Linked DNA regions of Schizosaccharomyces pombe. The protein of the gene in region 1 binds, or shares a complex with, the protein of each later gene. Each region holds a gene or a part of one and is shown on either strand. Other genes may lie near its edges. A codon is read from its position in the direction of its gene.

Evidence for each region.
Region 2: the proteins of alp13 (region 1) and cph2 are in contact, whole or in part, in a cryo-EM structure (PDB 8I02), measured with the Schizosaccharomyces pombe proteins. Residues at the interface, in NP_593394.1 of Schizosaccharomyces pombe: Asp176 (codon at 2,480), Lys179 (codon at 2,489), Leu180 (codon at 2,492), Leu182 (codon at 2,498), Val183 (codon at 2,501), Asp184 (codon at 2,504), Trp186 (codon at 2,510), Glu187 (codon at 2,513), Thr190 (codon at 2,522), Lys191 (codon at 2,525), Val227 (codon at 2,633), Gln230 (codon at 2,642), Gly234 (codon at 2,654), Leu235 (codon at 2,657), Ile237 (codon at 2,663), Tyr238 (codon at 2,666), Lys241 (codon at 2,675), Cys242 (codon at 2,678), Asn245 (codon at 2,687), Met246 (codon at 2,690), Leu247 (codon at 2,693), Leu248 (codon at 2,696), Tyr249 (codon at 2,699), Arg250 (codon at 2,702), Arg253 (codon at 2,711), Gln254 (codon at 2,714), Tyr256 (codon at 2,720), Leu257 (codon at 2,723), Arg260 (codon at 2,732), Gln261 (codon at 2,735); in NP_592978.1 of Schizosaccharomyces pombe: Cys269 (codon at 2,824), His286 (codon at 2,875), Thr288 (codon at 2,881), Cys289 (codon at 2,884), Ile290 (codon at 2,887), Asp291 (codon at 2,890), Pro292 (codon at 2,893), Pro293 (codon at 2,896), Ile294 (codon at 2,899), Glu295 (codon at 2,902), Thr333 (codon at 3,016), Met334 (codon at 3,019), Val335 (codon at 3,022), Trp338 (codon at 3,031), Met339 (codon at 3,034), Leu341 (codon at 3,040), Cys342 (codon at 3,043), Ile345 (codon at 3,052), Asp346 (codon at 3,055), Pro350 (codon at 3,067), Ile351 (codon at 3,070), Gln352 (codon at 3,073), Phe353 (codon at 3,076), His354 (codon at 3,079), Leu355 (codon at 3,082), Pro356 (codon at 3,085), Ser358 (codon at 3,091), Ile359 (codon at 3,094), Ser360 (codon at 3,097), Phe362 (codon at 3,103).
Region 3: the proteins of alp13 (region 1) and pst2 are in contact, whole or in part, in a cryo-EM structure (PDB 8IFG), measured with the Schizosaccharomyces pombe proteins. Residues at the interface, in NP_593394.1 of Schizosaccharomyces pombe: Asn192 (codon at 2,528), Gln193 (codon at 2,531), Gln325 (codon at 2,976), Asn326 (codon at 2,979), Ala327 (codon at 2,982), Pro328 (codon at 2,985), Pro329 (codon at 2,988), Arg332 (codon at 2,997); in NP_593646.1 of Schizosaccharomyces pombe: Arg342 (codon at 2,912), Leu343 (codon at 2,909), Pro345 (codon at 2,903), Glu347 (codon at 2,897), Glu348 (codon at 2,894), Val369 (codon at 2,831), Trp374 (codon at 2,816).

What each region holds. Positions count from the first base shown.
Region 1 is NC_003424.3:1,586,470-1,590,505, reverse strand, and holds alp13 (Clr6 histone deacetylase complex, chromodomain subunit Alp13/Eaf3), read left to right. Parts: upstream 1-1,928; 5' UTR 1,929-1,954; coding exon 1,955-2,883; intron 2,884-2,932; coding exon 2,933-3,017; 3' UTR 3,018-3,178; downstream 3,179-4,036. Other genes in the region: thi4 (bifunctional thiamine-phosphate dipyrophosphorylase/hydroxyethylthiazole kinase), read right to left, coding at 1-406; centromere localized protein Cnl2, read right to left, coding at 914-1,043, 1,115-1,551; SPOM_SPAC23H4.13C (uncharacterized protein), read right to left, coding at 3,179-3,562, 3,643-3,813; SPOM_SPAC23H4.21 (uncharacterized protein), read left to right, coding at 4,033-4,036.
Region 2 is NC_003424.3:543,575-548,259, reverse strand, and holds cph2 (Clr6 histone deacetylase-associated PHD protein-2 Cph2), read left to right. Parts: upstream 1-2,000; 5' UTR 2,001-2,019; coding exon 2,020-3,843; 3' UTR 3,844-4,133; downstream 4,134-4,685. Other genes in the region: SWI/SNF complex subunit Snf5, read left to right, coding at 1-1,596.
Region 3 is NC_003424.3:2,158,486-2,164,630, reverse strand, and holds pst2 (Clr6 histone deacetylase complex subunit Pst2), read right to left. Parts: upstream 4,146-6,145; 5' UTR 4,060-4,145; coding exon 4,029-4,059; exon of another isoform or gene 3,983-4,028; coding exon 3,802-3,982; exon of another isoform or gene 3,724-3,801; coding exon 708-3,723; 3' UTR 553-707; downstream 1-552. Other genes in the region: Polo kinase Plo1, read right to left, coding at 1-391; ER zinc importer, CDF family, Zhf1, read right to left, coding at 4,656-5,819. UniProt on the Schizosaccharomyces pombe protein: Has a role in chromatin assembly and chromosome segregation. Involved in the deacetylation of histones.

The DNA of each region.
Region 1 (4,036 bases):
CGTAAATAGAACCGATACCCACATAATCGGCCCCATCAGCAGCTGCTTTTTCAATTTCCTCGATATTATTAGTGGACACTCCAATAATAGCATCATCGCCAAGAATTTTTCTGGCTAATGCACAATCCATGTCGTCTTGACCAATATGAACACCGTCAGCGCCAACAGCTAATGCCACGTCAATCCTATCATTAATTAGAAAAGGCACGTCGTACTTTTTGCAAATTTCAGAAAGTCGTTTAGCACGTTCTACAAAGCATTTAGTAGAGATGTCTTTTTCTCTGTGCTGAACAAGCGTGACACCTCCCAAAATTCCCTCTTCCACCTGACGTTCTATAGTAGAACCTGGGGCAATTAAACTAGAGCTAGTTACAAGGTATAAAGAATAGTCAATTTGACGTTTCATGTTTGGTATAAAAGTTCTTATATAGAAGTCAAGTAAGTAAACAAAATCCTAGAAATGCCAGATTATGTTGCGGACACCAAAAATTTGACAGTTCAATCTTTCTATGCTAAGAAAAATGAAAATTGAATATTATCCTAATTTAATCAAGAATTTGGCGAAAGTGTTACAAACTATGTTTGCAAATTTTGCTCCATCTTTTATACTGTGTTAGTCATGGTTCGGATGCGTGCTACGACAAGTTAGTGATAACTGATTTTAATCACTCTATTAAAATGTAGTTTGTCAAATGGAACAAATACTGCATGCTTTTGAAGAAAATATATTCGCATTACTTTGAACAGGTTTTAATGAAATGAGTTTATAAAGGAACAGATATATCTTATTAAAAAGGTGCAGAATAACGTTATATTTAATTATTAAAAAGAAAAAAAAATTCATTCATTGTAATAAATACCCGTTAAAGCTATATTATTGAATAAATATGGAACAGCTTAACGTTTGAAGGTCCTAGTCTAATTCTTCTATTGCAGAAGGTGCTGCCTTTTCTAAACTTTCAATTAAAGATTCTACAAGATGAATTGACTCGTCAACGTTTGGCTCTTTTGACCATTGAAAATCGCTAAGGGATGCAATCTGACTAGAAAGAAATTATTAGCAAGCTAAATAAAGCTCAATTAAAACAACCCAAATTCCTAATCAACCTCATACCTATTCATTTTAAGAGTCAATTGTGTGCAGCGCTCTTTTTCCTCATTTAATTTTGTATAAGCAGATTGCACAGCTTCAGAAAGCCGCTCATTGATTTCACTTATGTCCAGCGGTTTTGCACTATGTGATGTGTAAAATTCTTCTACATCGTGCAATGTAGAGGCATGACTGACCGTTTGCAGTTTCTCAACATTTGTTGCCAACATCCTATCTATTCTGCTTTTGCCGATAACTTGACTCTCGAGATGGATGTTAGCTCTCAATTTTGCTAATCGCTTTTGTCTTTGTTGTGTACAGTATTCGTATAAACGCTCAATCAGTGGGTCTTCTCTGTATCTCTGAGGAAACAGTTGCCGCCATTGTTCTAAGCTTATAATAGACTGCAACCGCCCTTGAGAAAGAAGATAATCATTAAGTATTTGTTCCTCCATATTCATGAGCAACCTTTGAGATATTAGTAAATTGAATAAATGAAACGCAGCATTTGATGAAAACTCATGTAGAAAAGCTAATTTTTCCTAAAGTATCCTTTTGACTAAAGCATTTTTTATAATGCGTATTGGGACGTATTTGCTGAACATAATGAAAGTTTATTTTTAATTTATCATTAAAAATCCTAAAACAGTAACTTACTGATAGCACTTTCTCCAAGCATTTTGCAGATGAATGAATTTGTTGCTTAGATAGTATCCTGTTACACCCACCGTTTGTTAATGGGTCTAGATAATTTTTAAAACAAAATAGCTAACTCCTTCAAAGTAGGATAAATTTGCTAAGTGTACTGTTTTGGCACACGTCCTCTTACTTCTAACTCACCACCATACCTACAACGTTGTTGGAATGGCCGTGTCATATAAGGTGAATGAACGTGTACTATGCTTTCACGGCCCGTTACTCTATGAGGCTAAAATTGTTGATACTGAAATGAAAGGTGATGTTACCACGTACCTGATTCATTATAAAGGATGGAAAAACAGTTGGGATGAATGGGTTGAACAAGATAGGATACTACAATGGACAGAAGAAAATTTAAAGACTCAGAAAGAGTTAAAAAATGCCGCTATCTCTACGAGACAAAAACCGACTTCTAAAAAGTCCGCATCCAGCACTTCGAAACATGACTCAACTGGAGTTAAAACATCAGGAAAGAGGTCTCGAGAATCGAGCACCGTAACGGTTGATGGCGATTCACATGAATTGCCTTCACGTATAAAAACCCAAAAATCAGAGTCTCCAATTCCTCAACAAGTGAAACGCGATGGAACAACCGATGCTAAAAACGAGGAAACTACTAAGCCCGAGAATAACGAGAAAGACGATTTTGAGGAAGAGCCACCGCTTCCAAAACACAAGATTAGTGTCCCGGACGTTCTAAAGCTATGGCTTGTTGATGACTGGGAAAACATTACCAAAAATCAACAGTTAATAGCTATACCGCGGAATCCCACCGTCCGGGCTGCTATAGCGGCCTTCCGAGAATCCAAGATTTCTCATTTGAACAATGAAATAGACGTTGATGTTTTTGAACAAGCGATGGCTGGTTTGGTTATATACTTTAATAAGTGCTTGGGCAATATGCTGCTGTATCGGTTTGAACGGCAGCAATATTTAGAAATTCGGCAGCAATATCCTGATACTGAAATGTGTGATTTATATGGCGTCGAACATTTAATTCGCTTGTTTGTAAGCCTTCCTGAATTGATTGACCGGACTAATATGGATTCACAATCCATCGAGTGTTTGTTGAATTACATTGAAGAATTCTTGAAGTATGTTTACTGCTTTTAAACTCCCCTACTATACTAACCATTTATTTAGGTATCTCGTTCTACATAAAGATGAATATTTTATTAAAGAATATCAAAACGCCCCTCCAAACTATAGATCTTTGGTTGGTGTATAAAATTATGATCGTTTGCATCTATCCCAAAGATAACTAAAACGGTAATCTAAAATATATACGTTTTCTTTTTGAGATATAATACACTATTATCTATAGAATGCAGTAGGACCAACATAAGGCATTCAGAGAATTCATGCAATTATTATGTTGTTCCTTAATATTCAGATATTAATCATTTTGCTCTTCAAAGAGACAATTTGCTTCTGCAAATTGCCAATTGGAGTATCAAATTCTAAAGATCCAGAAATTTGACTTCCAAACTGATAAAGTTCTGCATTTACGACACCTTTCATTGCCTGGATGCTCAGGTCTAACGAACTTTCTGCCGGGATACACTGCTGCTCCTGTTCAGTTATATTGGCAACTCTTCTCAATTTTTCTTTAATACAACTCCATTTTTCTATTGTTTTTAAAATTTTTTTATCGTCAACCCGATGTTGTAATGTATCAGTCCGCTTATTGAATCCATCCATAAAATTGTAATAAAGCTTTATGAGTGCCCGTCTAAGGGCCAATGTGTATAACCATTGAGGACGTATGTAATACTAGAATTTGGTGAGTTGGACGTAAATAAGAACCAGTAAATATAAAAACTAACCACAACTTGCTAAGAATGTGTACTTACTTTTGTAATAACGAAAGTCGAGAGACCACTGATAGAAAAAGTATATAATATGTAAATTAAGAAGGACAATAAGCTGGACGAAACTTGTATATTATCTGGAAAAGCTTTAACAGGCGGATTTTCTTTAGGAAGCAAAGGACTTTTGCTTTGAACAGCACTGTTCGAACTCATTTTTAGAATGATCGAAAATTTTGCACTAGTGAAAATATGGATATCAAACCAGTTGAAGAAGAAAATGATAAGCGTAAAAAAGATGGTTAAGCATATAGTGTTGCGGAATAAGTAGTTTGATTGTTCGAAATTAATACGAAGCAGTAAAAAGCAACTTTGCAAAATTAACAGAACAAATGAAATGAATAAGTTTGTTATATCTAACGGATTGTTATTAAAATGT
Region 2 (4,685 bases), 1.0 Mb from region 1:
TGGACCGCTTTGAAACCCAAAATACTATTTCCATCGCAAAAAAGAAGGGTTAAGGGTCGATTTACTTTCCCTTTCAGTCGAAGAAGTAATTTAGCCCAATCTAAACTTCCGGTTGATTTGGTGCCTATTAGACTTGAAATAGATGCTGATCGCTACAAATTAAGAGACTCCTTTACGTGGAATTTGTACGACAAGTGTATTTCATTAGATCAATTTGCTGAACAGATCTGCATTGATTATGATATTCCACTGCATAATGTACATATTGTTCAAAATATTTCAAAGAGTATTCAAGCTCAAATAAATGACTATGAGCCGCGTAAGGCTCAGTCTAATTTAAGTTTTGTTTCAGATGTTAGTTCGTCTACCTCAGAGACTGTTTATGCGCACGAACCGTCAGATTCGTTGGCTAAAGCTTCCAAGCAACAAATTCCAACTGTACAAAACGATTTGAGGATATTGATCAAGCTTGATATTACCATTGGTCGGCTGAATCTTATTGACCAATTTGAATGGAATTTGTTTGCTCCTGAAAGCAGCGCTGAGGAATTTGCTACTGTGATGTGCTTAGATCTAGGATTGTCAGGAGAATTTTGTACAGCTGTAGCTCACTCAATTCGTGAGCAGTGCCAAATGTACATAAAATATTTAAGCCTTATAGGATATTTGTTTGACGGAAGTGAAATCGAAGACGAGGAAGTTCGCTCTTACATTTTACCTCCTCTTAAAAACACACTACGGTTCTCTGACATGGAATCCTCCTCCTTTGCCCCAATGATTTACGAGCTAAACGATGCTGAAATGGAACGGCAGGATAGAGGTTATGATAGGGAAGCACGTCGTATGCGGCGTAGACAAGGAAGGGCAAAACACGGGATTATGTTACCAGATCTTCGGGACATTCCTAAAATACATCGAAGTCTCTTCCCCAGTTCATCGGTCCCCTCGGATGATGACTTTATGCATGCTTTAAGTTTATCTACAAATTCTGATGGCGAGACACTTAACGAAATTAATACTAATAATCCTGAAAGAGAACATTTAATTGTGCGTCTAAAAGTTGACTCTCAGAAACTAAAAATAATCGTTGAACAATCACAAACCTTAACCCTCAATAACTTCCAACAACGGAAACTCACTCCCTTGCCCAATTCCATGAGTTTTGACTCACTAAACGAATTTGAAAGTGAAAGGAACACACCTTCTACATATGGGCAAAATATTTCGCCATTACCACAATTTTCGTCTCCTAGCCTTTCTTCTGACGCGTTTCTTACTAACAGCAATTCTTCTGAATCCGCTTTGGTTCATATGCAAAAGTTAAATTTACCTGATTTTACCCCTTCCTGGGTTAAACGATGTGTTATAGAGACATTTGCAAAATTTCCGAATGATCGATTTAATGTTATCGTAAAACCTGCTTTAAATCCTGCTGAAAGGATGACTGTGAGAATATGTTGTCATGATTGCATTAATGAGTATTTTACAGCCGGCCCAGGATTCACGTTTGGCAATTTCCATATCCACTTGTTGTCAAGCTCGCATCAACAAAAAAAGGAGGTGAGAATGAATACGGTTTTGGATAGAAATACTTAATACAATTTTGGAAGAATCTTTATCAAAGACCATAATCAAGATTTGACTCACGTTATGGATAGCTCGACGGACCAGTTTCTTTCAGTTGATAGCTTCTGTTACAAATGAGGCACTCTATCCTCAATACGATTAATTTATTAAATTTGAGGAAATACACTGTATATTATTCAAAGGCTTATTAATCCTTAATGTTCAGTCATGTGGCTAAATTTAAAGTATGTACGGGTAACCGATGAATCAAATTACTTTACAGCCTTCATTTCAGTTTTTGGAAATTATAATATTTTTGATATTTAAACAAAATAACTAACAAATCTTTCTTTTCGGTTTATAGCAGTCTTTCCTTGTTTCTCGTTAAATTCATCTTTGCTAGCATAAATCTTCATTGTATGTTCACACTACACGACGTCCACGTTTTCATCAATGGATGCAAAACCATGGAATCATACATCAGAAGCCTTTCAAGCTTCTATTTTGGAAGATCTTAAAATTATTCAAAAAGCCGGTGCTGAAAGGAATGCAAAGAGTTCGCATGGGTCAATAAATTCCAGGAGCGCTTCACCGAATAAAGCGACCTCGAGAAGAAATAGGGCCCAAAACGGCAACTCTAATGGTAGAGCCTCAGTTGATAACTCTGACGATGGAAGCAAGGATGATTTAGATTATTCTCCTTCTGTTAAGAGAAAGCATGTGAATGGTGAAGGTGCAGAAAAAGGTGATCATGATACATCTAACAACGGACCTAGTATTACTAAGTTAAGAAGAAAAGTTAGGAGAACCTATGATACTAAGGATGGATTTGTGGCTTGGAATACATTGGATGATGACTTTCGTCCTATAGTACCCGATCAAGAGAGATCACGAAAAATCAACCCCCAGAAAGGAAATAATAATAATCTCCTTAAAGAGAATAAGTCTCTAAAAACAACGGCTAAAGACTTATCTGATATCTCTAGTTCATCGATGAAGAAAGCGAATAACTCTTCCAAACCTCTTTTTTCTGGGAAGCTAACTTTCAAGGCTAACATTCCTGTTCCTACCTCTGAGGTCGTAACGGAGAATAATGTTACACGAAATGTTACCGTGTATTCCAACCAAAAACATTTAGGTAATGAATCAGAGAATTTTAACGACATGGAGGGCCGGGCCGAAGACATTAGTAGCAATGAATTACTTCCTACCCCTGAAGAATATCCATACAGATATAACAATGATTACTGCTCCGCATGTCATGGTCCAGGCAATTTTTTGTGTTGTGAAACATGCCCGAATAGTTTTCATTTTACTTGTATAGATCCGCCTATCGAAGAAAAAAATTTACCAGATGACGCTTGGTATTGCAATGAATGTAAACACCATAGCTTGTACAATGAATTGGATGAGCAAGAAGAATTGGAAAGTAATGTCAAAGAAGAAGGAACGATGGTTGATGTGTGGATGCAACTTTGTACATATATTGATTCTCACAATCCTATTCAGTTTCATCTTCCTCATTCAATTAGCAGCTTTTTTAGAGGTGTCGGAAGTGGAGTGATGGGTGAATATATCGAGACGGATGTTTTGAAGCATCTTAAATCTAGCCGAAGAAGCAATGGAGAAGAACGTGATCCTTTGCTTTTGAAGAGTAAAAGTGGTACTCCCATTTTATGTTTTCGTTGTCATAAATCGGCTCTGGTCTCTCAGAGTATACTAGCTTGCGATTATTGTAACTCCTACTGGCATCCCGATTGTTTAAATCCTCCACTCGCAACTTTGCCTTCGAATCTCCGGAAGTGGAAATGTCCTAACCATAGCGATCATGTCACGCCTCGGTATAGGTTACCTGAAAAAGCAAAGGTTATTCGTGTCGGTTTACCTCGTGGTTTCAAAAATAAAGGAAATATAGTTATTGATGAAAATGAGGATGAACCATCTGTGCAAACAATACAACTACAGGGAAAAATACGTGTGGTACCTAGTAAACCGTTTAAGTTGAACTTTTTAGAACAAATACGTGATAACGTTATTAATTTACGTAAAATGGTTGAGCAGGATGAACAACTATGTATTGAAACCTTTTCCAAATTTGACTTTTATGCAACCCGTGATTGTGAATTGCCTTTGCGAATCCTTTGCGATGTTGCCAATGACAACTTAGAAAATGATGATTATGTTTTGGCTTTAAGGGATCTTTTGAGAATTTCTAAATGGGATCCTAATCAACCCGTTCCTGCACCTTTTGATTTGGCTAACTTATTAAGCTATTGAAAGATAGCATAGCACCTCGATTCTTTCAAGTGCGGTGTCTTCGACGTTGAAATGTCTTAATATTTATGCCTATCTAACCATGAATGATACGATTTCATATATGAATGGTTTTATTTTTTTTCTTTATTTTTGGTATTGCGAAGGTGCTTCCAATTAGTGAATTGTGATCGAAGTGTGGTATTCAAAAAGTCTCCTTGGGAAAGGTGCAGGCATTTTTCCTTAATTGTAAATTTAATTAAGTTGTATATGCAATTATGCTGTGCAACAAATACTTTAACTTATAGTTGAACTGCAAAATTAAGAAAAGTTACGTTACAAAATGGAGTACAGAAATAAGCCAAATTTTATCACGTTTAATTATTCTTATTTGAATGCTTTAACGTGTAGTATTTTTGTATATTGAATTATTAGTTTCACCGTAGAACTGTTGATACAACTAAAGAATTCTTTGGGATAAGTTGAATTACAAGCAAATGATTGCGATAAACTGGATAGAATGCAAAGCGATTTGCAATAGTACTTAAACAATAGCACAGAAATAATAAAGAAACTGTATGATAGTGTAATTTCAAAAGTAGTTTGCTTACGTATTATTAACATTTTTTTTATTCCTTTTAATGTGTCATTATTAGCACATAAGGAAAAGTTGCATTGCTCTAAAATAAAATTACCTTAAAACATGTCGGTTTCATCATCATGTCTATCATTGCTTTGTAACTTAGTAGATGCTTTATTGTGCCTTTAGCTTGTTTTTATTTTCCATATTAGTTTGTTCTAAGAATTGGGTAACCTCGAAATTTATTACAAGGTCAATTAATAGGCAATACGTTTTTTGTTCCCTT
Region 3 (6,145 bases), 570 kb from region 1:
TACGTAAAAGTTCCATTAAAGATTTATGTTCACAAAGCTCCAAAATTAAGTAAATATTCGTCGAATCTTCAAAACAATCTATAAATCCTACGATGTTTGGATGACTCATGGATTGGTGCACCTTTATTTCTCCAAAGAGCTTCAGCTTTGTTTTATCATTTTGTAGTGACCTTTTAGCAATAACTTTAGCAGCGTAAATATTTCCATAATTATCTTTGACTCGAAAACATCTCGCAAAGCCGCCTTCACCAATGCAATCGTAGCGAGTGTAGAATATATTTTTTTTATTATTATGAAGATTAGTTGGCGGAGTAAAGCAAAGACGAGAGGCTTTGGACTTCTTCTTCGGGGTTATAGCAGTTTTGGGCTCTTTAATTGCAACACTCGCCATTTGGTATTTGTTTCTAACAAAACGCAGGTGGTAACTTTTGAGGGTAAACAAAGTGGTTGCTACGACAACCGCTTGTTTGTAAATAAAAATCTGTGCATTGTAATATTTTATGTAGTAATTACAGAAGTACGGCTTTAGAAAATTTAATACAAAGCTTATGTGCAAAAATTTCAGTAAATTCGTACTATACATAAATCCTTGAAATTATAAAATACCTAGAAAGATAAGTTATGTTAACAAAGTAATATAAAACTATTAAAGTCAAATTGTATTTAAGTAAATATGATCAATAGGTAGGTCGACTGCATTAAAATCATTATGGGATAAATAGTGCATTAATGTCAGCATCAAAATTCACCTCTGCCGTGTTGTCAGAAGTTCCCCTAACCGATTTTAATAACGATTCCCATCGATTTCTCCAACGCTGTTTTCTTTTATTCTGGCAATCAAGGAAGTCGGTATCTCTAAGGCGCAGGTAAGATGCATCTATGTAAGAATCTTCTGTGCGTGGTAAGTAGAGCAATTTAAACGAGTCTAAACATAATTTTGCTTGCAATCCGGAAACCAATTCTGCAGATCTTAATAACTTTGTTTGAAGGCGTGAAACCAATTGCTCAACTGTTCTTTCTTTCTCTATATTTCTGCAAAGAAAGGGACAACGATAATTTTTATAAGATATTTCTTCAGTAAGTTTTTGTATACGATAATTTTGAACATATTTTTTCCAAACTCGTCTCTGTGTATCCAAACTTTGATCCACAATAAGATTCGCTCGCTTCATTATTTTGATTCCAAATGATTTAAATTTGTTTATCCAACAAAATCGAAACAAAATTTCATCAGGATTCAAAAGCTTTTCAATTTCCAAGCGATAAAGAAAGTCATCATAATTCTTCTTAGGCGAAGCAGAACTATTTTGTTCGACTAAACTAGTAACGAATTTGTATTTTCCATCGGAAACGATGTGGTGGACTTGTTTAGCAGCAGACCAAACGAGTTTATCAATAGTATATATTTTATAGGCTTTATTGCCATAATAAAACCGCAGATAGTCCTCGAAGGCACTTTGATCAACTATCCCATATATTAATCGAAGAATCATCACATAAGTATTTTCGTAATGAGTTTTTTCATCAGGGACATCTGAAAGATCATTCCACCTATCGCGCCAAATCTTTTGTTTTTGAGATACTGGGTTTGGTATTATACGCTGTTGGATAATGGACACTTGATCCTCCAAACGCTGAAGCTCATAAAGCCTTTCGTATAATAAGTTAAAAAGTCTAAAAAATACGTACATAGAAGAATATCCAAACTGTTCTTTATCGACGTCGTCATGCATTTCATTCTCCGTATCACCAGCATGATCTTGATGTTCCAAAAGACTATCTGGATGACTTGGATATTTGAGACTGGCTTTAATGGCTGCAGCAGGTTGTGAAAGCTGTTTCTTAGAAACCGGCGTTACGTTTCCAGATTCATCACTTAAAGAGTTTTGAGAGTTAGATTGTGATTTGTTACCGGATTCTTCTTTTTTGCGAGCAGCTGCAGCTGAACGACTTTCGCGTTGACCATTGATTTTAGGTTGTTTTACAAATTCCGTCAACTGGGTTATAGAATTAGATCTTTTCCGACGTACAGGCTTGTTACCAACTATATTCGGGGCATTCACATCGTAATCAGGACCACGAAAAACTTGATCCAGGAATATCGAAAATTTATCCTTTTCAAGACCAAAATGTAAAGGCAATATATTCTTGAAAAAATGCTCAACTTTCTTTAAACCAGAGGGAGAGTTACATACAATGTATGTGCATACCATATAACAAGTATCAAAAAGTACTATTTCGTTGTCATATACAAAAGAAAATTCGAAAGCTGATCTACTTCGCAAAGGAAAATGGAGCTTCGCTTGCGATCGTAGAATGTCGGCTTCTGCTAAGAGAAACTTTGAAGATACATTCTTCTTATCTCTTGCCTTAAAATAAACGCATTGTGAATCTAAGCTCTTATCGTAATTTTTAAACTCAATACTTCGCCATCCAGGTTGAAGACTTCTTTTAACAGACTTCCACTCTTCGTTTTTTTCTTCTAATCTGCTGATTACCAATGGTAATGTGAGGCAAGGCATTCTTTCCAAGGCCTTAAACATTTCCTCTGCATGCTCACTGGTATAAACAAGCTTAATAGTTTTCTTGTATATACTTTTTGATGGTAAACCTAGCCCTTCCTCGAGAGTATATGTTTCTCTTTCCTCTTCCGGCAATTCATTTATACGGTTCTGAATTTTTTTAAGAGACTTGATTGTCCAGGAAGTAGCTTCAATATGCCGATCAAATTCATAACGTTCCTCTTCCAACTTTGTCATTGCCTCTTCATAAGGCGTTTTCCTCTGAACAATGAAACCGCTTTCTTCAGATGCCCAAGTTGGATGACTGACCCAGTCATCATTAAGTATACCCCATGCAAAATCATCTCTACCGCTGCAAGAAATATTGCGTTCTTCGACAGGAAGCAATCGGTAACTCGGGCCACATTCCGGGAAGTCTGAGCAAGCGGAATTGTATACAGATAAAAACTCTTCCGGACTCAAACTAGTAAGGCTTAAAAAGCTTCTCCAAAGTCCCGAATTCGATTTAAGAAACCCAAACCCACGACTCACCAGAATATTTCTATCAATTATCCCTTGAACGTACAAATTCAGGAGTTTTAAAAATTCGTGGTAAGTTTCTACATCGGTAAGTACATTTTTCACATTTTTGAAAAAGTCACTGCTCTCATTTGATAAATGTGAAAATGGTGAGAGGTTGTCCGGCCTTGATTGACTAAGCAAATCAGAAATATTACTCAACGTAAATTGGGAACTCTGAATTCCTCTTAATGGAAACGATCCTAGAGGAGGTTTACTCCCAAAAAAGATGGAGCTTGGTAAAAAGTTGTGAAACTCGTGGGCTAAAGATGGATGCTCCGCTAGCAAAGACGTTACAATAGTCTGAAGCTCAGAAAGCGAACACTCAGAGTTTTTAAACTTACGAAGACTATCCTGTAATTTAAAGAACTGTTCGGGATTGCTCAATAATGCTCGTCGAACTCGTGAAACAAATCCTATAGCTCTATGATAGGTACAAGGTAAGTCGTTGTAAGTAGCTACATAAGTAGACGGTGTAGAAACTGGACCAGATGGGGTGGTAAATTGCAATGTGAAGTTGGCACCGCTATTCGATAAAAGGTATTTATAAGACGAGGGCAAAAAGATGTTCAAATATTCTAAAAGATCTGGGTAATCTCTTAAGATTACAGATATTCTTTCAATAAACCCGGGAAAATCGACACTAATGTTCATGTTAATAAGTGAATAGTAATAAAAAAAGAGCTATCTCAAAGCAACTCAGTAAATAAGCCATATATACATTTCATTGTGTAAAGCCTTCACAACATCCATGAAAGCGCTATAAACATAAGGACGATGACACAGTCTTTGACCCAACTTTTGAACGAATGCCTTTATATCAAGCTCGGGGAGTGCGGTACCATTAGGGGAAAAATCATGGACTAATTGATTCTGCATCTCGGCCACTAACGTTGAGTTGTCTAACAACATTGGTTAAAATGAGTTATGTATTAAATTGATACGTACCATTTTTTAATATCGCTAGTGTTTGTTCCATGTATTTTGATCTTTAACCATCAAATGACTAGGAATACGATCTCGTTTATTTTGGAGGTGATGATTTGGGAAACGGCAAATGCAACTAAGCGCACAAACTCGTCAACGCATTACATGAACTGACGCTGATAGCCAAAGTTCAAATGATTTATCAAGACATGAACACAAATACCACATTGGATGGTGTTTTACACTTACAACGAATACTTTAGAAAAAATACTAACGAGAAGAATCAAACCCAATATAATTGTTAAAAAATATTCCTTTTAAATAATTAAACACTACATCTAAACATTATTTTCTAAGAATAATAGAGATTTAATAAAACCGAAACTATGCATCGTCTTCATCAAGAATAAGAAATCGAAAACTATCTACTTTCAAAGTTAAGTTGTCGACTACTTTACTTAAGTGCATTCGCAAAACAAACAACCAAGATGGTGAAATAAAGTTTTTAAATACGAACAGGAATGGCAGAAGAAATTACGCTTTAAAAATGAAACAAAGTAAACATTCAATATAAAATTTTACCTCAAGAATAAATCAAAAGATGTGACACAATAGATTAACCACGTTAAATTTATAATGTTCGCAAACTAAGACGAGGAACCTTGGTCACATAAAAGCGGATGATTGGCGAATTCTGGTTGAATGGTAACATCATATATACCAAAAGATTGAAGGACATTACGGATATCCGTAGTAAGCTTTGTATAAGACTCTCCCTTATCATCAGGAAGTGTAACGCAGACATGAACAGTGGCAATTAATTTAACGTCCGAAAGCTGCCAGATGTGGAGTTCATGAACAGATTCCACGCCGTCTAGATGATTAATTAGGTTGGAAACATCATCCAGTTTGATGCTTTGAGGAGCAACTTGTAATAAGATGAGAGCAGCGGATTTACAGAGAGGAATTGCGCTAAAAAGAATAATGAAAGTAAGAAGGATACTAATGCATGGGTCAAAGAGGAAACGCCAAGAATAGTCAGTATACTTGATGAATAAAGCAGCACTAATAACACCAATATTACCGAGAGCATCACCCAAGACATGAAGAAAGACACCATGCATATTCAAATTTCGTTTCTTCGTTTGTTTTGGTGCATCTTGTTCAATACTGCCATGGTTGTTGACTGGCTTTGAAGTACCAGCACCATTATGATTACCAGTGTAACTCAATAAAGGAGAAGATTCGGTAGCAGAGTCTGCGACTTGAGTGTGTGTATGGCTGACTTCTTGTTGACTGGTATTACAACGATGAACGATAGTCGAAGGTAAAACGGATTCAATATCATCTTCTTCAGGAAAATCGTAATTTTGAGCGGTATGGGTGTGAGGATGATCATGACCATGGTCATGAAATAAAAAGATACCAACGAAATTGCTTAGCAGACCTAAAGAACCAACAAAGAACATAAGGGTGGGATTGCTGACAGAAGGAGGCTCAATGAAGCGCTCTATGGCTTCCATAAAAATGAACATGCAAAGGGCAATGAGAAATACACCGTTCGACAAAGCACCTAAAATCTCTGCACGTTGCCAGCCATATGTGTATTTTGGTTCGTGAGATGTTGAATGTGCTAGACGAGTAGCCCAGAGAGCGACCAGTAAACTGACAATGTCATTTAACATATGAAATGAATCAGCAATTAGGGCAAGTGAATCGATCGCATAACCAGTAATAATTTCGATGAAGAAAAAAGTAACATCAATACCTAATAAAAGGATAATCCGAGTTTGTCTTGCGAGGTCGAACATAGTTTGAAAACGAAAAGTCACCAATTTCAAAAAAATGGTAAGGGTTGAATTTCACAGGGAGAAAAAGGAATAAGGTAAATTTAGAATGAAAGGTGGCTTTTTAAAAATGAATTTAAATAAAAGAGGCGCAAACTTGCTATATTTAACAAAAAAAAAAGCCAAAATAAGACGAAGATGCGAGAGGGTTTAAGAAAATCTAAAGAATCAAATATCTGTAATTTTGCTTTCCTTGTTTTTACAGAATAAATTAATTAAACCAATAAACCTTCAAAAAACTGCCAAAACTGCCGTTTTTGATAGTAAATTAAAAAGGAGGCTTTTGAGAA